Macaca fascicularis: one gene and its partners. The protein of the gene in region 1 interacts with the protein of each later gene in a biochemical or structural test. Links are inferred from orthologs where the notes say so. Each region holds a gene or a part of one and is shown in the gene's direction. Other genes may lie near its edges.

Region 1 (2,318 bases):
AAAGTGAACGACGGAAACTGAAATCTACAAATTAGAAAGAGGCGCAGAATTTTGAATATTCATGTCGCCCAATCAGGAAAAGGCTGGGACCCGGCTGCGCGGGCTTCGTCCAAAATACACAGAACGGCTGGTATCCACAGGAGACCCCATCGCACAGCAGAACTGGTGACCGGACACAAAAGGTGCTGCCAAGCGTCAGTCATACACAGCTGTCACGCAGTGTTTGCGGAACCTGGGCTGAATCGTGCCCTGGAGTTCTCTTAAATAACAGCCGAACTCAGCCACTTCGTTTTAGAATGAAACAGACCCAAGAAGCCACCAGGGCGCCAGTGTGGGGCGGGAGTGGGGGCGGGTAAAGAGGCGGATTCCCAACATCCTAATTGAGAACCGACTCCTGGGAATGCTAAGCAGCACAATGAGTGAAGACACGCTCTAGATTCAAAAGCAAATCCAATCATGCACCGGGGACCTCAAGTTCCAAATGGTTAAAAACCTACGTGTGGCATTTCCCATGACCTTTACGCTAAAATTACTTTATGAGAAGAAACTAAGGGAGTAAGTGAACAAGCTCTTTTCTAGTGATTAGGTGGGTGGCTCTGAAAAGAGCCTTTGGAGTCAAGCAGCCGGCGACTCGAGCGAGCGAGCGCCAGGTCCCGGCAGGGACTCACTTGGAGCTGGTGTACTTGGTGACTGCCTTGGTGCCCTCGGACACGGCGTGCTTGGCCAGCTCGCCGGGCAGCAGCAGGCGCACGGCCGTCTGGATCTCGCGGGACGTGATGGTGGAGCGCTTGTTGTAGTGCGCCAGGCGGGACGCCTCTCCCGCGATGCGCTCGAAAATGTCGTTGACGAAGGAGTTCATGATGCCCATGGCCTTGGACGAGATGCCGGTGTCGGGGTGGACCTGCTTCAGCACCTTGTACACGTAGATGGAGTAGCTCTCCTTGCGGCTGCGCTTGCGCTTCTTGCCGTCTTTCTTCTGGGCTTTGGTGACGGCTTTCTTGGAGCCCTTTTTAGGAGCCGGAGCGGATTTTGCCGGTTCAGGCATGGTAAGACACAGTACAAACGCGGCTTAGCCAAGAAAAGAAGTAAGAGAATGGGCGGGCCTGATTCTTTTATAACCACCTTATGCAAATTAGGGCTCCGAAAGTCATTCATTTCCATTGGTCCGTGTGCGGACCTTGCGTTTTCAGCAATGCGTACGCAACAACACCGACTCTTGACTTGATTGGCCGGTTCTGAAGCCATATTAGGACCAATGAAAAACTCGTTCTAGACCCCACCCCTAGGAAAGCTTATAAAGGCTTTCCTCTTGGTTCTCTTTCAAGCTTATTTTGTAGCGAGGTTCTGAGCATTGTCTGTGTTTAACCTTGGTTTCAGTCATGTCTGGTCGTGGCAAACAAGGAGGCAAGGCTCGCGCCAAGGCCAAGTCGCGCTCGTCCCGCGCTGGCCTCCAGTTCCCGGTAGGGCGAGTGCACCGCTTGCTGCGCAAAGGCAACTACGCGGAGCGGGTGGGGGCTGGCGCGCCAGTCTACATGGCGGCGGTCCTCGAGTACCTGACCGCCGAGATCCTGGAGCTGGCGGGCAACGCGGCTCGGGACAACAAGAAGACGCGCATCATCCCTCGTCACCTCCAGCTGGCCATCCGCAACGACGAGGAACTGAACAAGCTGCTGGGCAAAGTCACCATCGCCCAGGGCGGCGTTTTGCCTAACATCCAGGCCGTTCTGTTACCAAAGAAAACTGAAAGCCACAAAGCCAAAAGCAAATAAATGCAGACAAACAAACCAAAGACCAAAGGCTCTTTTTAGAGCCACCCAAGTTTTCAAAAAAAGAGCTAATGCGCTATTTCGTGATCAGCCCTTCATTTGACACTTTGGTGGCTCTTAAAAGAGCCTTTGGGGTGAATGAGTATGGTGTCAAGCCTCTTAATTACTTGTTCTTGCCAGGCTTGTGACTCTCCGTTTTCTTGGGCAACAGGACAGCCTGGATATTGGGTAAGACGCCGCCCTGGGCAATGGTGACACCCCCGAGTAACTTGTTGAGCTCTTCGTCATTCCTCACGGCTAGTTGCAGATGGCGAGGGATGATGCGCGTCTTCTTGTTGTCCCGAGCCGCGTTGCCTGCTAGCTCCAGAATTTCCGCGGTCAGGTACTCGAGGACCGCCGCCAGGTACACCGGGGCGCCTGCCCCCACCCGTTCCGCGTAGTTGCCCTTGCGCAGCAAGCGGTGCACTCGCCCCACCGGGAACTGGAGGCCAGCGCGGGACGAGCGCGACTTGGCCTTAGCGCGGGCCTTGCCTCCCTGCTTTCCGCGTCCTG
Region 2 (4,123 bases), on another chromosome or scaffold:
AACTAGGGGCAAGGTTGAGGCAATGCTAAGGTCCTCATTCCACCCTCCCTTTACCTGTTGAACCGAACAATTCCCCAAATGGATACAAAAGTACTCAGAGTCCTTAGTATAACAAAGTCCTGAAAGTAGGAATTAGCAGCAATACAGGGAAAGACAGTAACTACAAAAAATATTCAAGGTCTGTGGGAGGTCAACACCTCTGAACCCCCTGGTGGTGGGGGGGCACTTCTCGCCCATTTGCACCTTTCTTGCTAGTGTAAAAAACCTGAAGTTGTCTCAGGCTGGATAGATAACCCTCACTCAGGTCTGCTGGAGCTCTCCCCCACATATGAATCATATTTGTAGGTTTCTTTGACAACCAACCACTCATTGATATGCTTGGAAGACTGCACCCCCACATTCTTAAAAATACAATGGTACTCCCCCCCATAGGCAAGTCCCCGGACTCTGACACATATCTTCAATTGAAAGCAGACCCAGAAAGGAAAAACTGCATAATACACCATCCTTTAATGTTTGCCCAGAATTTCCAATACTAGAAACCCCACTGCAAAGCAGAAAGACTATTTGGTAGCTTCAAGGAACCATTTCAGGAGATTGTTGTGTGGCCCTCAGTATTCAATGCTGCCTTAGAAGATCTTGCGATCCTCTCTCTTCTTGCCCCAAGTACCAGAGTTCATAAGCCACTGAACCAACCAGAGGGGAGTTATTTTTGGTCCCGGTTTAAAGAAAACAAAACAAGCTGTTGATCCTCCCACGACCTCTTGGGTAATGTCTCTATACCTGTGATAAACCGAAAACAACTAATAAAGGTGTATCCAGCCCTCACCCTCTTAGACCCGCTTCACAGACCTGGCCGAAACTCACATCCAGGCGAGGCTCTCACGTGACCCGTTCTAAACGCGTCACAGGGACACGTGGTTCTAGATACTTCTCCCCCTCCCCCTCAGGGGTGGATTGTTGACAAGGCCGCGGGCAGTCACGTGATCTTACATCATCCCACCTCCTTTCCCTGAAATCCCTGGCCCGGATACGTCCTTCTTTCTCCACCCCGCCGAGCCTAAACTAGAGACGGGGAGGCAGACAGGATAGTGTGTCGGTTTCGTGGTCTCTGAATCCACAACCTCTAGTCTGAACACAGAGAACACAAATTTGTCGATCACTTCAGGAAGCCCAGGAAGAACCACGCCCCGCTGAAGGGCTCAGGGAACGCGCGCTCCCCCGTCCCGCCCCCTCCTCCCCCAGCACTCACTCTGTGGTAGCGGCGGAGGGCGGAGGGATCCGGAGGCGGCGGAGGGAGACGTCATTGCAGGGTTGTTTGTCAGTCTTGGCGGCGGCGGCGGCGGCGGCGGCGGCAGCGGCGATCCACAGTGATTCGGCCGCCGCGCCGGGGGGTGGGGGGGCTGCGCGGGACTCTTTTCTTTCAGACTGACCGCGGGGCAGCTGCGGAGCATGTCGACCCCGGCCCGAAGGAGGCTTATGCGGGATTTCAAGCGGTAAGGGCCTTCAGCTTCGCATAGATGACGGCCTCTCAAAGCTGCGGGGCTGCAGGGCGTGGATCCCGGACACCTTCCCCTTGTGACCCTCAGAGGGCCGGCTGTGGGCCCAGGGGGACTGGCGGAAGCCGGGTCCTACCTCGGCCCCTACTCTCCTTATCCTTGCCGCTCGCTCTGGCGCCCGAAGAAATTTCGATACTGCTTCCCCTCCCCCCAAAAAGTAAAACGATGTCGATCGACTGGTCTAGGGTTCCCCGCTGCCCATTTCGGCCAGCTGCCCGGGGTCTCGTCCAGGGGATCAGACGGGGATCAGACATCATCCTCCCGCCCCTGCACCCTGCGGAGACCCTTTCTTGTCCCCTCAAAGTGAGCTCCCGCGGGAGCTTGTTCTTCTCCGGCAGCACCAGTCAGCTTTGTTTCACGGCCCCTCAGTCTTCTCCGAGGAGCCGGGTTGGGGTGAACCTCCCCAGCCCCCCACCCTCGCCAGTCCTTTCCATTTCTGCCGTGAGGGTGGGGTCCAGTGCGTGAGGCTCGGAGGTTAACCCATCCCCCGAAACCCGACTCTGTCCCCGCCCGCCTGAAAAGACCTTGGGAACTGACTTAGAGATCTGGGACCTTAGAGCTGGCCACCCCGGCTGCCAGTGCCTTCTGGAACTCAGATCTGGCTGGTGAAGAAAGCCCTATCTATAGCCTCCCGAGTCTGGAAAAATGCCTTCCCTTAGACTGGCGCTAATTTGATACTCCCTGGGCCTTCTTTGGTAAATAAAATAGGGTTTTGTTAGGAGGTATTGGGGTTGTGAGGAAGAAAATGATTATTCCGTTAGTTTACCTTTTATTGGATACTTAGAGACGTAGAAAAAACAAAATAACGTAGAAAAAACAAAATAAGTGAGAAAACATTTTGATATTCTGCACATTTTTCTTAAAATTTTTTCTGGGGACACCTACCCTAATTGAACAAAATAGCATAAAAACATAGATTTGTCGCTCAGGAAGTCACCTCTCAGCTATTATAAAGCCTATGTGAGGCATTTGGATTTGGCCAACTTATTTAATTCATTCGTAGCTTCTCTTAGCCATTTAAAGGTAGGCGTCAAGCAGTGCAGTTCCTCTAAGGCTTCTGTTTGTGGTGGCCTAATTTGCTTGAGATTGACTAAAAACCTTTTTTTTTATGTGGACTAGTTGCAAATTATGATGCCCCATGAAAACAACTCCATATGTATTTGTGAGTGTGTATAATGTAGCATTTTTAATTGAGGTTACAGTCTCTGAAAGGAGATGCCCTTTTTGGTGCAAAAGTCATTTTTCTAAAGCTTGAAATCAGTGTATCTGATTAGCACTCATGACTAAAATTCAGATAGTAAACTAGTTCATGTCATTGTCGCCCTGGCTCCTTACTGTAATGCTCTGCTTAATTCTGAGTTGAATACATGGCACCTTTTGTAGTTTTCCAGAGATCTATAGGTTACAAGAATTTGACTATGACGAATGTGGGAAAGCCTTGTATTGAGTCTCCTGATTTGAGAGGTAGATTTGATGTTAGTGCAGAGCCTTTAAAATAGGGACTGGCGGAAAACCTACTGATTACTTTTTAAAGCCATTGCTGTTTGAAGCAAAAGGGATAGAGTAAATCTGCTGCCTAATACTAGTTTCCTAGTTAAATTTAATGTGTTTTCAGTCATTTCGTGTTTACACTGAGGTTTGCTTTTTTTTTTTTTCTTGTAGCCATTTTGCAGAAGTAGCCGTGGTTAGGATACACAGTCTTTGCATGTTTAGAGCAGCAAAATCAATGGTTCTGTAAAAATATTACTTGCTTTTGAGGTTTTAAACTTTTTTTGGTATAAGAGGACAGTCTATATACATCAATTCTTGAAGAGATACTCTTGATAATATTGAAAGAGGGATGATTCTCAAGCCCTTCGGATTTTTAGGTAATTTGGAGAGGTATTTAATAAGTATATATACCTGGTTAATATATCTAAGTCATATGGTTCATTTTAGTTCACAATAACAAGGAAATGGAGTTAGTCTGTGTCTCAAAATAGATGGTGTAGTGTCTGTAGGTGTTTATGTGGCCTCCTTAGTGGCCTTAATGTTCAACTTTTTAAATTACAACGCTGGATTTCTAGGTTACAAGAGGACCCACCTGTGGGTGTCAGTGGTGCACCATCTGAAAACAACATCATGCAGTGGAATGCAGTTATATTTGGGTGAGTTGAAAGGTTTAACAAATAATAGGTGTGTGCTGAATCTTTAAGAAAAGTGAACATATAACAACTGTCTAGGAAAAGAAACTGAGGTAGAATGAGAGATCTTAAGGACTAAAACTGCAAGATAAATTAGAAAAAAATTTTTTTCAATTAGAGTTTTGGCCCAGCACAGTAGCTCAACGCCTGGGAGGATCGCTGGAGCCCAGGAGTTCATCACCAGCCTGGGCGATATAGTGAGACAGTGAGACTCTGTCCCCTCTCCACCAAAAAAAGAGTTTTGGCCCAGTCTGGGCAACATAGTGAGAGACCTTGTCTCTACAAAAAGTATAAAACTAACTGGGCATGGTGGTGCCCAGCTACTTGGAAGGCCGAGGCAGGAGGATCACTTGAGCCCAGAAGTTTGAGGCTGCAGCCAGC
Region 3 (4,065 bases), on another chromosome or scaffold:
ATTTTATGACCAATTTTTTTTTTATGGTGAATTACCTGTTTACATTCTTTGACTATTTTTCTATAGATATCTGCAACCCCCCCACCCTGGCACCCTTGGTAGGGATTACTATTTTCTCTACTAAACTAAGACTCCAGGGCAGAGAGGCCTATGTTTAATTCATTTGAGGGAAGGCTTGGCACAAAGTGTACCCTTACATATTTTCTTTTTTTGAGACAGAGTTTCACTCTTGTTGCCCAGGCTAGAGTGCAATGGAGTGATCTCGGCTCACTGCAACCTCTGCCTCCAGAGTTCAAGCGACTCTCCTCCCTTAGCCTCCCGAGTAGCTGGGATTACAGGCGCTCGCCGCCATGCCCGACTAATTTTTTGTATTTTTAGTAGAGACGGGACTTCACCATGTTGGCCAGGCTGGTCTCGAACTCCTGACCTCAGGTCATCCACCCGCCTCGGCCTCCCAGTGTTGGGATTACAGGCATGAGCCACCGCGCCCGGCCTCGCACTTACAAATTTTCAAAGAATGAACAGTAAATATTTGAAAATCCCCTCCTCTCCCGCAATTTATGTTTGACACCGTCTTTCAGTTCTGCTTTAAAAATTCACTCTCGCGGCCGGGCGCGGTGGCTCACGCCTGTAATCCCAGCACTTTGGGAGGCCGAGAAGGGCGGATCACAAGGTCAGGAGTTCCAGACCAGCCTGGCCAATATGACGAAACCCAGTCTCTACTAAAAATACAAAAGTTAGCCGGGTGTAGTGGCGTGCGCCTGTAGTCCCAGCTACTCGGAAGGCTGAGGCAGAAGAATGCCCTCCAGCCTGGGCGACAGACGGATATTCCGTCTCAAAAAAAAAAAAAAAAAAAATTAACTCGCTGCGTTTTTTATTCTGACATGGCGCAGGAAGGTAAATTCAAGACAACTCACGTACTCAGTTTTAGAAGTCGAGAGGACAGAATTATGGAAACAGAAATTTAAGCGCTCCCCGTTAGTCTCCAAATGTAATGTGTTCCAGAAAGGTAACCATCTGGGGAACTCCAAGGCTCAGACCACCACCAGATGCCCACACTTCAGAGGCATTTATATAACTTCATGGTTATGTCAGAGACCAGAAAACCCATTGACAACCAAACCCCTAAGCCCGAACTTCCGGCGCAAGCCGCACGCAGGCGCAGATTTACTAGCGTCAGAGCCCATGGTCACGGGAGGTGGGGGTGGGGAGGTGGTGGCCTAGCCACTTCCCATAATGCCGCGTTCCGGAAGTTGTTGCTTTCCAGGGGTCACTCTGGCTTCTGCTCCGTCGCTCTCAATTCGTCACCAGGAGGAAGACGGAGCTGGCTGCCCAGCCCAAAGGCCCATGAGGGGATGCAGTTATGGGCTCTGTCGCCGTGGGTGAGTTCTGGTCGCACTGCCTGGCAGTCGTCGCTCGCCTGACTTCCTGCGCTGGGAGAGCCCCTGTTTTCCGCCCCAACTTCGTTCTCTTCTTGAAGGCCCCACTCTTTAAGCACGTAACCCGGCTACTTCCGGTACTGCGATCTCATTGGCTGCGTGTCTTGTCAGTTCCAGAAGCTGGCCAATGAGATGCTGCTGCTGGCGCCCTTCTTGACCCCGTGGACCCCGGGGTTCCCCGGTGGGATCGGAGCAGTTAGAAGAGGAGGAGAGGGGAGGTGTGGCAGGCGCCGAGCAAGTGGGTGGGTGGCGCGTGGCAGGGACTACCCTATGGGTTGGGGCTGGGTTTGCAGCCGTGTTCTTACTGCTGGTAGGAAAAGCAGGATCTGTCACCTATCCAGTTGACTTCACCTAGGAGAGGACTGATCTACGCAAAACTTGAAAGCCACGTTAAGACCTGCTGACAAAGTTTTCCACACGCTTACATTTTTAATGGAACCGAGTAGGCAGGGGACGACTGGGAGGGCAGAGAGAGAAGAGACTTGGAATAATATGAGAGCCGGCAACACTATCTTTGATTTAGATTTTGTACGGAGCCCTGCAAAGAGTCATTTCACTAGGACGCTAATACTCATCCGATGACACTACTTGAAAAGTGTAGTAAGCTTATTGATGTTTTAGAGCTGATGGAAGTCACAGTATTCTCTCCTCGTGACTCATTAGTTGCCTTTACAGTTGTCAGAAATTTACTGGGGCTCTTTCCGCAGCACTGGAGTGACGCCTCTATGTCGTCTGCCTGCAGCAATTAACAATTCGTCTTTCAAGTTTCCTATGGAGTCTTGAGCTGCTGCAATCCTAAAACCGGATTTACTAGTGCTGTCTGTCTTCACTGCTGCAGACTTCTGACTTCTTATTCTTCACTCTTTTCTTTTTCACCAGAACTTGTTTGCTTCATTCTTATGTACCTACCTTTGCACCTTGTAATCATCCTTTATGCCTCAGGTACTATTCTATTTTTCTATTTAAATGCAAGAAGTATTTCTTCAGGACCTACTATGTACTAACATTATGCTAGATATTATAGGCAGTTCCAAAGCTATGCCTGAAACCATTTATTTTTCTAAGAACTTTAGGTTCTGCTTAGAGAAATAAGATAAACCCAGATAAAAATTTAAGAAATTCACTAGAATATCTGATAAGGGGACAAGATGACTGGAGCATACCATAAATACTGGAGAAGTTCAGTGGAGAGGTTAATTTAGGGTAGAATGATTGTCTAAGTCTTCCTTGAAATGGAGAGCTTGCAAGATTGGTAAGATTTAGATAGATAGAACATTACGGCTAGAAATCAAAGACATCAAGGCGCGGAGGGTACAAAGTGTTTTGGAGTGGAGTACAAGAGACAGACTTGGCCAGGCACGGTGGCTCACGTCTTTAATCCCAGCACTTCGGGAGGCCGAGGCGGGCAGATCACGAGGTCAGGAGTTCAGACCAGCCTGGCCCAGAGTTCAAACCCCTGTCTCTACTAAAAATACAAAAATTAGGCGGGCGTGGTGGTGGGCTCTGTAATCGTAGCTATTCGGGAGTCTGAGGTAGAAGCAGCATTTGAACCTGGGCAGCAGAGCAAGACTCTGTCTCAAAAAAAACCAAAAAGAGACTGACTTGATTGGCAGGTAAAAAGTGGTGGTCTTGAAAACCCAAACATCTGCGTTTTACCTTTTTTTTTTTGTAGAGATAGAGTGTCGCTTTTTTGTTGCCCAGGCTAGTCATGAACTTCCGGCCTCAAGCGATCCTCCCACCTCGACGTCCGAAAGTGTTGGGATTATAGGCGCGAGCCACCGCATCCAGACAACACCTGCCTTTTAGCTCATTTTTGTTACCCTGTGTGATCTTTCACCATTTTTTTTCCTGAGTTTTCTCCTTGAGTGAAATGTCTCTGTTTAAAGTGTTGTTATCGAAATCCGATGTGATAATGTTTGTGAAAGGACTTTGAAGATCAAAAGTACTATATAATTATAATTTTAGTGGGTTTTTTGTTGTTGTTTTTGTTGTCGAGGCATAATAGTCAGGATTAGCTGAGCATTGGGGCCAAATTTATAAAGGCCTATGGTCCCTATTTATAAAGGCTAAAGTTTAGGGAGTGTGGTCTGGGAAACTGTTAAATGCTTTCAATCAAGAGAATGATATAATAAAAATGGCATAACTGGAAGATGAATGTAGTACTGAACTCCCACCCCGATTAGAGTGAGTTGGATTGGAAGCAAGAACTTGGGTGCTATATTTTGTATTTATTTCTAAAATCTATAATTCTAGATAGGTAGACCTGTATGTACTTTTAGCACTTTTCTTGTTTTCTAAGTTTGAATTGTTGACTAAGAAGGTGAAGATGTGATGTGCAGCTAGATTTGTCATAGCCTTCCAAAGTGGTTTTGTCAATAATGTAATAATGTGAATAGTCAAGAATGCAGTTGTAATCAATTTCCATTTAGCTGATATGCATAGGAAATCTTGGTGTGGAAAATGCACAACAGTGTATCACTTTTTGTATTTAGCTTTGAAGCTGTTTTGGAAAATTTCTAACTCCCTTCAGGAGGTTGTTGTCCGAATTATTTTTAATTTTTATTAGAGAAATTATCCATTTAATTTGCATAGACTGCAGAGCTAAGAAAGATAGCTTAGAAGGAAA
Region 4 (2,190 bases), on another chromosome or scaffold:
GCAACATCACATGCAACAGATGCAACAAGGAAATATGGGACAGATGGGCCAGCTCCCCCAGGCCTTGGGAGCAGAGGCAGGTGCCAGTCTACAGGCCTATCAGCAGCGACTCCTTCAGCAACAGATGGGGTCTCCTGCTCAGCCCAACCCCATGAGCCCCCAGCAGCATATGCTCCCAAATCAGGCCCAGTCTCCACACCTACAAGGCCAGCAGATCCCTAATTCTCTCTCCAATCAAGTGCGCTCTCCGCAGCCTGTCCCTTCTCCACGGCCACAGTCCCAGCCCCCCCACTCCAGCCCTTCTCCAAGGATGCAGCCTCAGCCTTCTCCACACCACGTTTCCCCACAGACAAGTTCCCCGCATCCTGGACTGGTAGCTGCCCAGGCCAACCCCATGGAACAAGGGCATTTTGCCAGCCCGGACCAGAATTCAATGCTTTCTCAGCTTGCTAGCAATCCAGGCATGGCAAACCTCCATGGTGCAAGCGCCACAGACCTGGGACTCAGCACCGATAACTCAGACTTGAATTCAAACCTCTCACAGAGTACACTAGACATACACTAGAGACACCTTGTAGTATTTTGGGAGCAAAAATTATTTTCTCTTAAGACTTTTTGTACTGAAAACAATTTTTTTGAATCTTTCATAGCCTAAAAGACAATTTTCCTTGGAACATATAAGAACTGTGCAGTAGCCGTTTGTGGTTTAAAGCAAACATGCAAGATGAACCTGAGGGATGATAGAATACAAAGAATATATTTTTGTTATGGCTGGTTACCACCAGCCTTTTTTTCCCCTTGTGTGTGTGGTTCAAGTGTGCACTGGGAGGAGGCTGAGGCCTGTGAAGCCAAACAATATGCTCCTGCCTTGCACCTCCAATAGGTTTTATTATTTTTTTTAAATTAATGAAAATATGTAATATTAATAGTTATTATTTACTGGTGCAGATGGTTGACATTTTTCCCTATTTTCCTCACTTTATGGAAGAGTTAAAACATTTCTAAAACCAGAGGACAAAAGGGGTTAATGTTACTTTAAAATTACATTCTATATATATATATAAATATATATAAATATATATTAAAATACCAATTTTTTTTCTCTGGGTGCAAAGATGTTCATTCTTTTAAAAAACGTTTAAAAAAAAAAAAAAAAAACTCCCTTTCTTCCCCTCAAGTCAACTTTTGTGCTCCAGAAAATTTTCTATTCTGTAAGTCTGAGCGTAAAACTTCAAGTATTAAAATAATTTGTACATGTAGAGAGAAAAATGACTTTTTCAAAAATATACAGGGGCAGCTGCCAAATTGATGTATTATATATTGTGGTTTCTGTTTCTTGAAAGAATTTTTTTCGTTATTTTTACATCTAACAAAGGAAAAAAATTAAAAAGAGGGTAAGAAACGATTCCGGTGGGATGATTTTAACATGCAAAATGTCCCTGGGGGTTTCTTCTTTGCTTGCTTTCTTCCTCCTTACCCTACCCCCACTCACACACACACACACACACACACACACACACACACACACACACTTTCTATAAAACTTGAAAATAGAGAGCAAAAACCCTCAACTGTTGTAAATCATGCAATTAAAGTTGATTACTTATAAATATGAACTTTGGATCACTGTATAGACTGTTAAATTTGATTTCTTATTACCTATTGTTAAATAAACTGTGTGAGACAGACACCCTGACTTTGTTTCACTTGATAACACATCTTTGTCTTGGTGTGCACCAGTTTAAGTGCCCGGTGCTTAGGATTCAGAGGAAAAAGTGAAAGCATTAGCTTATAGCCTCTTTACTACATACAATTTTTCACAAGTAGATCTTGGTTAATTTGTCCAAAGTTCTGGGAAAAAGTACTGCAGGTACCAGCTAACAGTCAAGGTGGAAGTGATACCTACTTAACACCTTGATACAGGATCGCTTAAGGATGACCACATGGTCTTCTAATCACCATCTTACAGGGATGAGGAGGAGGACCTAAGACAACGGATCATACCTGCCTAAGTCCCAAGTAACTTCTTGAAAAAAACAAGACTTGCCAGGCACGGTGGCTCATGCCTATAATCCCAACACCTTGGGAGGCCAAGGCGGGCAGATCATGAGGACAGGAGTTCCAAGACCAGCCTAGCCAATATGGTGAAACCCCCATCTCTACTAAAAATGTAAAAATCAGCAGGGCATG
Region 5 (3,330 bases), on another chromosome or scaffold:
GGAGTCAGGCTTCACCATGCCACCCTCAGAGGGGACACAGCTGGTACCCCGGCCAGGTATGTGCCATGGTATGCTCTGTAGGGTGTCTGGCCTGCCTGGCTGAGCTAAGCCTCCTGGGTGGAAGAGGGCTCAGCTGGGCCAGAGGCCCTGGATCCCACTGAGGGACCTGTCACCAGCTTCAGCCCTCCCGTCCCTGACTTCTCTCTCTCTCTGTCTCAGCTTCAGTCCCCCTGTCCCTGACCTCTCTCTCTCTCTCCTCAGCTTCGGTCAGTGCAGCAGTTGTTCCCAGCACCCCCATCTTCAGCCCCAGCATGGGCGGAGGCAGCAACAGCTCCCTGAGTCTGGATTCTGCAGGGGCCGAGCCTATGCCAGGTAGATACTTGATCCCTGACCTCTGACCATCATTCACTCCTTCCCAAACCTTTTTTTACTGATCCTGACCAACCTTGCCTGCCTCCGCAATAGGCGAGAAGAGGAAGCTCCCGGAGAACCTGACCCTGGAGGATGCCAAGAGGCTCCGTGTGATGGGCGACATCCCCATGGAGCTAGTCAATGAGGTCATGCTGACCATCACTGACCCTGCTGCCATGCTGGGGCCTGAGGTGGGCAGCCCGACCTGCTGACCAGTTGGGGGACCCCCACCAACCTGAAACCCCAGCTCACCGCCCCTCTTCTGTGCCCAGACGAGCCTGCTTTCGGCCAATGCGGCCCGGGATGAGACAGCCCGCCTGGAGGAGCGCCGTGGCATCATTGAGTTCCACGTCATCGGCAACTCGGTGACGCCCAAGGCCAACCGGCGGGTGTTGCTCTGGCTCGTGGGGCTGCAGAATGTCTTTTCCCACCAGCTGCCACGCATGCCTAAGGAGTATATCGCCCGCCTCGTCTTTGACCCGTGCGTCCCCCAGAGAGCCCCTCCCCCAGGGCAGGACCCCCGGGTCCCTTCCTCCTCGGCCTCTTGACTCCTCAAAATTGGAGATCCCCTGCTCCCCACTTCTGAAGTTCAACCTTTGAGCATTCTTATTTCTCACTGCCCAACCCTGACTACAGTTCAGACTTCCAGGGCTCTGGGGACCTGAAGGAAACAGGCAGGGGCTGTGACGTGCCCACCTCTCTCTTAGGAAGCACAAGACTCTGGCCTTGATCAAGGATGGGCGGGTCATCGGTGGCATCTGCTTCCGCATGTTTCCCACCCAGGGCTTCACGGAGATTGTCTTCTGTGCTGTCACCTCGAATGAGCAGGTCAAGGTGAGTGCCGCTCCCCAGCCCACGGCTCGCTCCGGAGTTTGGGCCAGCTCGGAGCAGCGGGAGGTGTGGGATGCAGCAGCCCCTTGCTCTTCTCTTAGTGGCCCGTTCCTCACATCCCCACAAGGTGGCAGCCGTACTTTGATAACTGTGGATTAGGAAACCACCTGTTCACAGACAGAGCCCAAGAAGCGGCCACGCTTTGGTGACCTGTGGACTAGGATTTTCTTCATCACAAGAACATTTACATACATGGGGGAATTAATTACTTTAATTTTTATTTTTTATTTATTTTTTGAAACAGGGTCTCTCTCAGCCAGGCCGGAGTGCAGAGGCATGATCAGGGCTCACTGCAGCCTTGACCTCCCAGGCTCAAGTGATTCTCGTGCCTTGGCTTCCCAAGTAGCTGGGACTACAGGCATGCGCCATTACATCTGGCTAACTTTTGTGTTTTAGTAGAGACAGGGTTTTACCATGTTGCCCAGGCTAGTCTCCAACTCCTGACCTCAAGTGATTCACCTGCCTCGGCCTCCCAAAGTGCTGGGATTACAGGTGTGAGCCATGGTGACCAGCCGAACTAACCGTTATTACAGTAGTCCTATGCTGATAGCCTTGGCTTCTGTCCTTTGTTACAACAGACCCCCTCGTAGGGTCGCTGGCTCTGTGTGTCACATACCTCAGATCTGCGTGGCGCATCGTTGGCCCTGATGTGTGGGAGCCATTGCTCCTGCTCAGGCCTCTGGTGACTCCCTCTCCCTCCTCTCCCAACTCTGAGGCCCAGGGACTGAGAATTGCTGGCCTGTGTTGGGTTTGGACCCGGCCCTGCCACGGCTGGCAGCCTGACCTTGAACGCATTTCCTAACATAGCTGAGTTTCAGTTTTCTCTTTTCTAAAATAGAGGTGGTACTACTCGCCTCTGGGGTTGAGAATCGGTCTGTAAAACAGGAAGCACTGCACCTGGCCCAGAGTGAGCTTAGAAAGCCTCTACCTTTCACTTTCTCCCATAAACTCCCCTCCCTCTGTCAGCTGCCTTTCTTTCTCTTTGCCTGGATGCTCTCCCTTTCCCCACCTCCTTTCCAATCCACCCGCTCCACTCTGGGCTCTGAGACCTCTCCAGCACCAGGCCCATCCTCAGCTCCTGGTGAGTCCTGCTCCCCTCCCCCACAGGGTTATGGGACCCACCTGATGAACCACCTGAAGGAGTATCATATCAAGCACAACATTCTCTACTTCCTCACCTACGCGGACGAGTACGCCATCGGCTACTTCAAAAAGCAGGTGACCCGTAGCCTTATCCCACACTGGTCCTTTGCCTGAAGCCTGGGGTCATTCTGTCCAGCCCCTCTGTTGATGGAGTAGGAGTCCCTTTATGTCCCCTACTTCACCTGACACCTGCCAGGAAAGTCTCCATGCCTATCTTCTTTCCTCTGCTGCCACTGCCCCAGGGGAGAATGGGGGCCTATGGGGCCAGTAGAGCAGGCTGGAGGAACTGGGGGGCCAGTAGAGCAGGCTGGAGGAATTGGGGGGCCAGTAGAGCAGCCTGGAGGAACTGGGGGACCAGTAGAGAAGGCCGGAGGAACTGGGGGCCAGTAGAGCAGGCTGGAGGAACTGGGGGGCCAGTAGAGCAGGCTGGAGGAACTGGGGGGCCAGTAGAGCAGGCCGGAGGAACTGGGGGGCCGGTAGAGCAGGCCGGAGGAACTGGGGGGCCGGTAGAGCAGGCCGGAGGAACTGGGGGGCCGGTAGAGCAGCCTGGAGGAACTGGGGGACCAGTAGAGCAGCCTGGAGGAACTGGGGGGGCCAGTAGAGCAGGCTGGAGGAACTGGGGGGCCAGTAGAGCAGGCTGGAAGAACTGGGGGGCCAGTAGAGAAGGCCAGAGGAACTGGGGAGCCAGAGCAGGCTGGAAGAACTGGGGGGGCCAGTAGAGCAGGCTGGAGGAACTGGGGGGCCAGTAGAGAAGGCCAGAGGAACTGGGGAGTCAGAGCAGGCTGGAGGAACTGGGGGGCCAGTAGAGCAGCCTGGAGGAACTGGGGGGCCAGTAGAGCAGGCTGGAGGAACTGGGGGGCCAGTAGAGAAGGCCGGAGGAACTGG
Region 6 (3,500 bases), on another chromosome or scaffold:
CCAGCACTTTGGGAGGCCGAGACGGGCGGATCACGAGGTCGGGAGATCGAGACCATCCTGGCTAACATGGTGAAACCCCGTCTCTACTAAAAAAATACAAAAAACTAGCCGGGCGAGGTGGCGGGCGCCTGTAGTCCCAGGTACTCGGGAGGCTGAGGCAGGAGAATGGCGTGAACCCGGGAGGCGGAGCTTGCAGTGAGCTGAGATCCGGCCACTGCACTCCAGCCTGGGCGACAGAGCGAGACTCCGTCTCAAAAAAAAAAAAAAAAAAGAAAGAATTCCTCCATCTCATGGTCACTGAACCAGATGACCTTTCAAGATCTTGCCAACCCTGAGATACATGGATAACTCTTTTTCAGCTTTCTCTTCTTGTCACAACTGTTTGCCTTTTTCTATTTGGTGGTTCTCATGGCAGCTGAAGGGGAGATAGCTGATGCACTGTTTTGGTTCCACAGGTGTCTGGTTTCATAAGTCAGGACCTGCATATGCTGCTGGTTGACGAGATTTGTAAAGGACCTCCCTTTTCAGCACAATGACTGATTGTATTTCTTACATTGTTGTTGTCTTCCCAGGTGACTGTAGGACGAGGATTTGGTGTCACATACCAATTGGTATCAAAAATCTGCCCCCTGATGATTTCTCGAAACCACTGTGTTTTGAAGCAGAATCCTGAGGGCCAGTGGACAATTATGGACAACAAGGTACAGGAATTCACAGAATCCTAATGACTTTTATTTGTTTTTAAATTACTTTTTTTTTTTTTTTGCCTAGGTAATTCATGGTATAAAATTCAAAAGTATAACTTCTTCTTTCCTAGCCATCCAGTTTCCTTTTCCAGAGGCGCAGCCACTTCCATATGCTGCCAGAGATTAGATTATGCTAAAACAATTTCTCTTGATTTGGGTTGAAGTTTGTTACCTTGAAGAGAATACCTGAATTGGGGTAGTAGGTCCTATTCCAGAAACTAGACTAAGTTACTGGGCAAATCAGCCTGTTTGAGGTGAAGCTCCCAGAGACCCTGGGAATCTGCAGAATCCGCTAACGCTTCTGGAGTACACTTATGGCTCAGTGAACAGGGGGAGGAGGGAGAAACTGATCTGACTGCACTTAGCTCCTTGCCTTCCTCATTCCTTTCAATCTGAGCAACCTCCCCTGGCTTTTAAAACATGTTTTAAATGTTGGTGTTCTGAAGATTTCCTTTGAATAATGGGTTTTCCTCCTTTAGACACATTTGAAAACCACTAGTTTAGTGGTAAATGTGTTGAGGGAGGTGCAATAGTATATAAAGCCCAGCAATTAGAAAGTACCTCATGTGCTGGGCGTGGTGGTGCATGCCTGTAGTCCCGGTTACTGGGGAAGCTGAGGCAAGAGGATTGTTTGAGCCCATGAGTTCTGGGTTATAGTGTGCTACGCCGTTCTGGTGTCTGCATTAAGTTCGGCATCAATGTGGTGTCCTCCTGGGAGCAGGGGACCACCTGTTTGTCTAAGGAAGGTGAACTGACCCAGGTTGGAAGGAGAGCAGGTCAAAACTGCTGTGCTGATCAACAATGGGATTGCACCTGGGAGTAGCCACTGCACTCCAGTGTGGTTGACATGGTGAAGCCCTGTCTCTATCAAAAAGAAAAGAAAGGCCGGGTGCAGTGGCTCAAGCCTGTAATCCCAGCACTTTGGGAGGCCGAGACGGGCGGATCACGAGGTCAGAAGATCGAGACTATCCTGGCTAACACGGTGAAACCCCATCTCTACTAAAAAAAAATGCAAAAAACTAGCCGGGCGAGGTGGCGGGCACCTGTAGTCCCAGCTACTTGGGAGGCTGAGGCAGGAGAATGGCGTAAACCCGGGAGGCGGAGCTTGCAGTGAGCTGAGATCCGGCCACTGCACTCCAGCCTGGGCGACAGAGCGAGACTCTATCTAAAAAAAAAAAAGAAAAGAAAATACCTAAAGTGCAGATATACAAGCACCCAGGATATATGATGAAAATACAGACTATGAGGTGAGAGAAATTCTAACATAAACAGTTCATGTTTAGGAAGTATAACATGTCTTTAAGTACCATTTCATATTGCTTCACTGCCCCAGTTAGGATTTTAACAGTACCATTAGAAGGGAGGATATCCCACAGATCTGCCCAGCAGCCTCATTTTGCATGCATAAAACTGCTAGATTTAAGCTGTTGTAAAGTATCTTCCTGCTCTAGAATTAAGTTGAGTTGGCACTGTATTGAAGGAGACAATACACAAATGCTAAGTAAATAGGTTCAGCACTTTCAGCAGTGCACTATGAGCAGGGTAAAAATTGGCACTGGCATTATCTACTTTAACCCCTTATGTAGACAGATGAATCTGAGGCCCAGAGAGATAAACTGCCTTGCCCAAGGCCTTCTCTATAATGAGCCAGGACTTAAGTTTCTCTGCTATGCCCTGTGCAAATACCAGTAAAGTACGTAAGCAATTTGCTATACTGGCTTTATGACATCAAACAATTAATTATGCATATTTAAAATATAGCTGCAAGGTTTTAAAGCCTCTGTCATAGTGTATATCAAAACAGCTTAGGAAAAGATGTTTTCCTCATCAGCGTAGGCTGTATGAGAGTTGGGATTACAGTATTATAGAGGTGAGTTTTCTGCTGCTGCTTTTCTTAATTATGTGCAGTGTAGATGTGATCCACTTATGGGATTAGCAGATTTTCATAGGTTGGGAAGCCAACAGCTGATCAACTGTAGTGTTATTTAAATGTCAACCACAGGGATACATAGGCAGCCTGTGCAAGATCAGATCATGACTGTGCTCCGGGCTCGCTCTCCAATGTTTGCTTTGTACCCTTCCTTCTAGGGTTGCTGTTATCATGTGATTCTTCTGAGGTCTCAGTCAGGCAATAGAAAGGAAAGGTTTCTTAACAACCTGTTTAAACTTTTTAGCTGTGATTGTGAGATAACTGATTTTTAAGAGAAGCTAGGACTGGGGCGTTTTGATGGAACAATTCTTACAAGTAAATCCCCCCTCCCCTCTGCACTTTTCTTTTGATTACAGTTGCCCCCTTTCTGGCTTCCTCCTGGCATGATGCCATGGCAGCCCTCTTCTGCTGATAGGGACCTGAATTTCAGCTGTAGGATATTATTGCTGTGGTTGTGTTTGAAGTCATTTGCCAAGTCTCTTTCAAGAGATAGGTGTTTCTAATAAGTTAAAACTCAGAGCTGCATTCTCTTATCTGCTGGAATGGCCAGAAAGTGAGAGCTTAAGTATGGATACAAAAATTGCAAGAAATGTTATTTTGGTTTAAAATTGGCTTAAAATATAGGAAAAAAAACCCTTGGAGGACAGCTAACTCTGCACACAGTATGAGGATGGTTCTAGTTGTGTAGGTTTTGGTCAATTCATAAGCTCTTCAGATGGCCATCTTTGTATTGGTATCCAGCTCTTTCAGAAAATTGGTTGTTTTAAAGTCACAGTATGAAATGCCTTAGAGGTTCGGTCACGTCTTACTTGAGCCTTTCCCAT
Region 7 (4,256 bases), on another chromosome or scaffold:
TCTCTGACCACAATATTTCTTGGAGATGCTTTTTAAAGAATTTTGGAAAGCGACCTAAGCGGCTACCTTACAAATCAATAGAAACAAAAACGTACTCACAAGGGTACTGAGGCAAGTATTACTGTTCGGCTTTTTAAAATTTTTTAAAGTTTTTTGAGAGGAAGTCTCACTCTGTCGCCCAGGCTGGAGTGAGTGGCGCGATCTTGGCTCACTGCAAGCTCCGCCTCCCGGGTTCCCGCCATTCTCCTGCCTCAGCCTCCCGAGTAGCTCGGACTACAGGCGCCCGCCACCTCGCCCGGCTATTTTATTTTGTGTGTGTGTGTATATATGTGTGTGTGTGTGTGTGTGTGTGTGTGTGTGTGTGTGTGTGTGTGTGTGTGTGTGTGTGTGTATATATATATATTTTTTTTTAAGTAGACACGGTGTTTCACCCTGTGAGCCAGGATGGTCTCGATCTCCTCACCTTGTGATCCTCCCGCCTCAGCCTCCCAAAGTGCTGGGATTACAGGCGTGACCCACCTCGCCCAGCCTTTTTTTTTTTAAGCCAGAGTCTCGCTGTCTCCCAGGCTGGAGTGCAGTGGCGCGATCTCGGCTCACTGCAAGCTCCGCCTCCCGGGTTCACGCCATTCTCCTGCCTCCGCCTCCCAAGTAGCTGGGACTACAGGCGCCCGCCACCTCGCCCGGCTATTTTATTTTGTGTGTGTGTACCTCGCCCGGCTATTTTATTTTGTGTGTGTGTATGTATATATATATATTTTTTTTTTTTTTTTAAAGTAGAGACGGTGTTTCACCGTGTTAGCCAGGATGGTCTCGATCTCCTGGCCTTGTGATCCGCCTGCCTCGGCCTCCCAAAGTGCTGGGATTACAGGCGTGACCCACCGCGCCCAGCCTTTTTTTTTTTTTTTTTTTAAGCCAGAGTCTCGCTGTCGACCAGGCTGGAGTGCAGCGGCGCGATCTCGGCTCAGTGCAACCTCCGCCTCCTGGGTTAAAGCGATTCTTCTGCCTCAGCCTCCCAGGTAACCTGGACTACAGGCGCGCACCACCAGGCCCGGCTGATTTTGTATTTTTAGTAGAGACGGGATTTGGCCATGTTGGCCAGGCTGGTCTCAAACTCCCGACCTCAGGTGATCCGCCCGCCTCGGCCTCCCAAAGTGCTGGGATTACAGGCGTGAGCCACCGCGCCCGGCCGTGTTTGGCTGTTGAATTTGTTTTGCAGTTTCCCTTTTTCTACCCAGAAACCAAGAAACCCGGGGTGTCTGAGGCCTGGTAGAAATCTCCGGGGAAAGTCAGGCTCCACCCAGGCTGCACCAGCAGGAGCGGCGACGCCTGGGCTGGGCCTCTCCGGCTGGGAGGGCGGGCGGGGCGCAGACGCCGGAAGTCCCGCCCCGGGAGCGTCCGACCTTGGGCGGGTTTCTGGGTGGGAAGCGCGGTTTTGGCGGGCGGTTGTGACGTTGCTGGCGCTTGCCCGGTGGCTGCTGCGCCGCTGCAACGAATAGGGCTTCTGGCTGCGCAAGAGGGACCCGGGCGCGGAGCTCTGGGAAACTGCGCCGGGCGCCGGGAAGCTGAACCCGGGAGTCGCGCGTCGCCCCCGCAGCAGCGCCAAAGCGGAAGTTCTGCAGCAGCCGGAGCTCGGGATTCCTCCCGGAGCCGCGTCCCGGGGCCGGGCTGCCCCGAGCTGAGCGGAGCATCCTCTCCGGATGAGGGGAGGAGGGGACTTGGCGCGCTCCCCTCGCTGCACCGGGAGCCGCAGCCGCAGTGTTCACGCCGCGGAGCAGCCCGGCTCCTCCGACGAAAGCCTGCAGTCGTTTGCTTGCCGGACGTTTGCCTTGAAAATGGACAAAGACGCCGCCCTCCGGGGCGTTCCTGTTTGCCTGACCCTGAGAGCGCCTTTTTGCTTCGAGACGGGTTGGATGCCCCTGTTCTCCGAGTTCTGATACGCTTCTGGGCACAATATTGAAACACAAAACTGTGCTTTTGCTTTCTCTGTGGTTGGCCGAAAATAGGATTGTTTTTCGCGCAGGTGTCGTCGTTTAGTCGACTTTATTAACGTGTTAAAATGGCTCTACCCAAAGGCGCCGTCCCCTCGCGGTCCGAGTGCCAGTGCGGGATCTGCATGGACATCCTCGTGGAGCCCGTGACCCTGCCGTGCAGCCACACGCTGTGCAGACCGTGCTTCCAGGCGACCGTGGAGAAGGCGAGTCTGTGCTGCCCCTTCTGTCGCCGCCGCGTGTCTTCGTGGACTCGGTACCACACCCGAAGGAATTCTCTCGTCAACCTGGACCTGTGGAAGGTCATTCAGAAACACTATCCCCGGGAGTGCAAGCTCAGAGCGTCGGGGCAGGAGTCCGAGGAAGTGGGTGAGTAAACCCCGGCCTGATTATTGGCCGAAAGCCGCAAATCTTTGAAAAGGTGAATCATCGCTTCTCCATTTAAAAAGTACAAACAAACCAAAAAGCCCCACTGATGTTTGTCTAAATAGTTCTCAGGTTTGGGGGTTTATGGGTCCCCAAATGTCGATGGATTGTAAAGTCAAGGACAAGATTTTGTCCCTTGTCACGATGCCCGCGATGTGTTCGATGGGTGTTTGTTGTTTTAAAAATTAAAGAATTGCCCGTCTAGAGCCTTCTTTTTTTTTTTTTTTTTTTTTTTTGAGACAGGGTCTCGCTCTCGCCCAGGCTACAGGGCAGTGGCGCGATCTCGGCTCACTGCAGCCTCCGCCTCCCGGGTTCAAGCGACTCTCCTGCCCCAGCCTGCCGAGTAGCTGGGACTACAGGCGCGCACCATCGCACCCGGAATTTTTGTATTTTCGCAGAGACGGGTTTTCATCATGTTGGTCAGGCTGGTCTCGAACTCCTGACCTCCGGTGATCCGCCCGCCTCAGCCTCCCAAAGCGTTGGGATTACAGGAGTGAGCCACCGCGCCCGGCCTCTGATTTACTTATCTGTACATCTCCATTCACGTAATTCTTTATTCTCCTAGTCATGCAACGAGCCGATCGTGACCAGCCTGGCCAACACGGAGAAACCCCGTCTCTACTAAAAATACAAAAATTAGCCGGGCGAGGTGACGGCGCCTGAAGTCCCAGCTACTCGGGAGGCTGAGGCAGGAGAATGGCGTGAACCCGGGAGGCGGAGCTTGCAGTGAGCCGAGATCGCGCCACTGCACTCCAGCCTGGGCGACAGAGCGAGACTCCGTCTCCAAAAAAAAAATCATGCAACAAGTCTAAAATCGCTTTTTTATCACTAACCCCTACACCCGGTGGACTCAGGAGCCCCAGACTGAACCCTTGACTCTTTCCTCCGCTAGTGTGAGCAATAAGCCGTGCAGTGGTTCCTGTCTGTGCGCTCTCGTCTACGGGTCTTTTTTTTTTTTTTTTTTAATTTTTTTTGGTCACAGTTATATGTGTACCTGCCTTTTAAACGTTTATGTATTTTATTGTGGTAAAAAAACCAAAATGCCATTTTAACCATTTTTAAACAATAGTTTAAGAAAAACAGCTTTATTGAAATACTCACATACCGAACAGTTCACCTACTAAACGTGTGCAGTTTGGCCGGGTGCAGTGGCTCACAGCTGTAATCCTAGCGCTTTGGGAGGCGGAGGTGGGAGGATCGCTTGAACCGAGGAGTTGAGACCAGTCTGGGTAACATAAATTCAATAAAATTTTTAAAAGTGCAATTTAATGGTTTTTTATATATTGCATTATTAATTTTTAAAATACTGTCCAAAATATATATAACAAACTGACATTTTAACCATTTTTAAGTACAATTCAATAGAATTAATTACATTCACAATGTAATCATCACCACTGTTTCCAAAACTTTTTCATCACCCCAGATAAACTCTAATCGTGAAGCACTGACCACCCATTTCACCTTTCCCCCTAGCCCCTGGCACCTATTCCACTTTCTGTCTCTATGAATCTGGCAATTCTAGGTATTTCATATAAGAGACTTATACAATATAGGATCTTGTGTGTCTAGCTTATTTCTCTTAGCGTGTTTCTGAGGTTCATGCACAGTGTGGCATGGATCAGTACTTCATTTTTCGGGCTGAATAATAATTTGTTTTATGGATATACTTGTTACATTTTGTTTATCCATTGGATGGACGTTGGTTTTTGTCACCTTTTCGTTATTTGAATACTGGCAATACGGACATCTGTGTACAAATATTTGTTTGAATACCTGTTTTCAGTTCTTTTGTCTACATATCTAAGAGCGGAATTGCTGGATGCTATGGTAATTCCATGT

The links.
Region 2: of the proteins of H2AC20 (region 1) and UBE2B, one has a biochemical effect on the other in vitro, tested with the Homo sapiens proteins (2 studies listed by BioGRID, with this or other methods). The link is inferred for Macaca fascicularis from reciprocal best matches to the Homo sapiens genes H2AC20 and UBE2B.
Region 3: of the proteins of H2AC20 (region 1) and USP16, one has a biochemical effect on the other in vitro, tested with the Homo sapiens proteins (2 studies listed by BioGRID). The link is inferred for Macaca fascicularis from reciprocal best matches to the Homo sapiens genes H2AC20 and USP16.
Region 4: of the proteins of H2AC20 (region 1) and EP300, one has a biochemical effect on the other in vitro, tested with the Homo sapiens proteins (5 studies listed by BioGRID, with this or other methods). The link is inferred for Macaca fascicularis from reciprocal best matches to the Homo sapiens genes H2AC20 and EP300.
Region 5: of the proteins of H2AC20 (region 1) and KAT2A, one has a biochemical effect on the other in vitro, tested with the Homo sapiens proteins (2 studies listed by BioGRID). The link is inferred for Macaca fascicularis from reciprocal best matches to the Homo sapiens genes H2AC20 and KAT2A.
Region 6: of the proteins of H2AC20 (region 1) and RNF8, one has a biochemical effect on the other in vitro, tested with the Homo sapiens proteins (2 studies listed by BioGRID). The link is inferred for Macaca fascicularis from reciprocal best matches to the Homo sapiens genes H2AC20 and RNF8.
Region 7: of the proteins of H2AC20 (region 1) and RNF168, one has a biochemical effect on the other in vitro, tested with the Homo sapiens proteins (4 studies listed by BioGRID, with this or other methods). The link is inferred for Macaca fascicularis from reciprocal best matches to the Homo sapiens genes H2AC20 and RNF168.

Annotation. Positions count from the first base shown.
Region 1 is NC_088375.1:111,389,218-111,391,535, reverse strand, and holds H2AC20 (histone H2A type 2-C), read left to right. Parts: upstream 1-1,322; 5' UTR 1,323-1,379; coding exon 1,380-1,769; 3' UTR 1,770-1,818; downstream 1,819-2,318. Other genes in the region: H2BC21 (histone H2B type 2-E), read right to left, coding at 665-1,045; H2AC21 (histone H2A type 2-B), read right to left, coding at 1,930-2,318. UniProt on the Homo sapiens protein: Core component of nucleosome. Nucleosomes wrap and compact DNA into chromatin, limiting DNA accessibility to the cellular machineries which require DNA as a template.
Region 2 is NC_088380.1:140,910,674-140,914,796, forward strand, and holds the start of UBE2B (ubiquitin-conjugating enzyme E2 B), read left to right. Parts: upstream 1-1,323; 5' UTR 1,324-1,452; coding exon 1,453-1,496; intron 1,497-3,625; coding exon 3,626-3,706; intron 3,707-4,123. UniProt on the Homo sapiens protein: E2 ubiquitin-conjugating enzyme that accepts ubiquitin from the ubiquitin-activating enzyme E1 and transfers it to a E3 ubiquitin-protein ligase. In vitro catalyzes 'Lys-11'-, as well as 'Lys-48'- and 'Lys-63'-linked polyubiquitination.
Region 3 is NC_088377.1:18,014,167-18,018,231, reverse strand, and holds the start of USP16 (ubiquitin carboxyl-terminal hydrolase 16), read left to right. Parts: upstream 1-1,265; 5' UTR 1,266-1,382; intron 1,383-1,594; exon of another isoform or gene 1,595-1,681; intron 1,682-2,318; 5' UTR 2,319-2,381; intron 2,382-4,065. UniProt on the Homo sapiens protein: Specifically deubiquitinates 'Lys-120' of histone H2A (H2AK119Ub), a specific tag for epigenetic transcriptional repression, thereby acting as a coactivator.
Region 4 is NC_088384.1:10,438,108-10,440,297, reverse strand, and holds the end of EP300 (histone acetyltransferase p300), read left to right. Parts: coding exon 1-565; 3' UTR 566-1,690; downstream 1,691-2,190. UniProt on the Homo sapiens protein: Functions as a histone acetyltransferase and regulates transcription via chromatin remodeling. Acetylates all four core histones in nucleosomes. Histone acetylation gives an epigenetic tag for transcriptional activation.
Region 5 is NC_088390.1:63,160,102-63,163,431, reverse strand, and holds part of KAT2A (histone acetyltransferase KAT2A), read left to right. Parts: coding exon 1-56; intron 57-261; coding exon 262-372; intron 373-465; coding exon 466-602; intron 603-683; coding exon 684-892; intron 893-1,118; coding exon 1,119-1,245; intron 1,246-2,409; coding exon 2,410-2,520; intron 2,521-3,330. UniProt on the Homo sapiens protein: Protein lysine acyltransferase that can act as a acetyltransferase, glutaryltransferase, succinyltransferase or malonyltransferase, depending on the context.
Region 6 is NC_088378.1:134,291,005-134,294,504, reverse strand, and holds part of RNF8 (E3 ubiquitin-protein ligase RNF8), read left to right. Parts: intron 1-572; coding exon 573-701; intron 702-3,500. UniProt on the Homo sapiens protein: E3 ubiquitin-protein ligase that plays a key role in DNA damage signaling via 2 distinct roles: by mediating the 'Lys-63'-linked ubiquitination of histones H2A and H2AX and promoting the recruitment of DNA repair proteins at double-strand breaks (DSBs) sites, and by catalyzing 'Lys-48'-linked ubiquitination to remove target proteins from DNA damage sites.
Region 7 is NC_088376.1:1,914,802-1,919,057, reverse strand, and holds the start of RNF168 (E3 ubiquitin-protein ligase RNF168), read left to right. Parts: upstream 1-1,456; 5' UTR 1,457-2,056; coding exon 2,057-2,357; intron 2,358-4,256. UniProt on the Homo sapiens protein: E3 ubiquitin-protein ligase required for accumulation of repair proteins to sites of DNA damage. Acts with UBE2N/UBC13 to amplify the RNF8-dependent histone ubiquitination.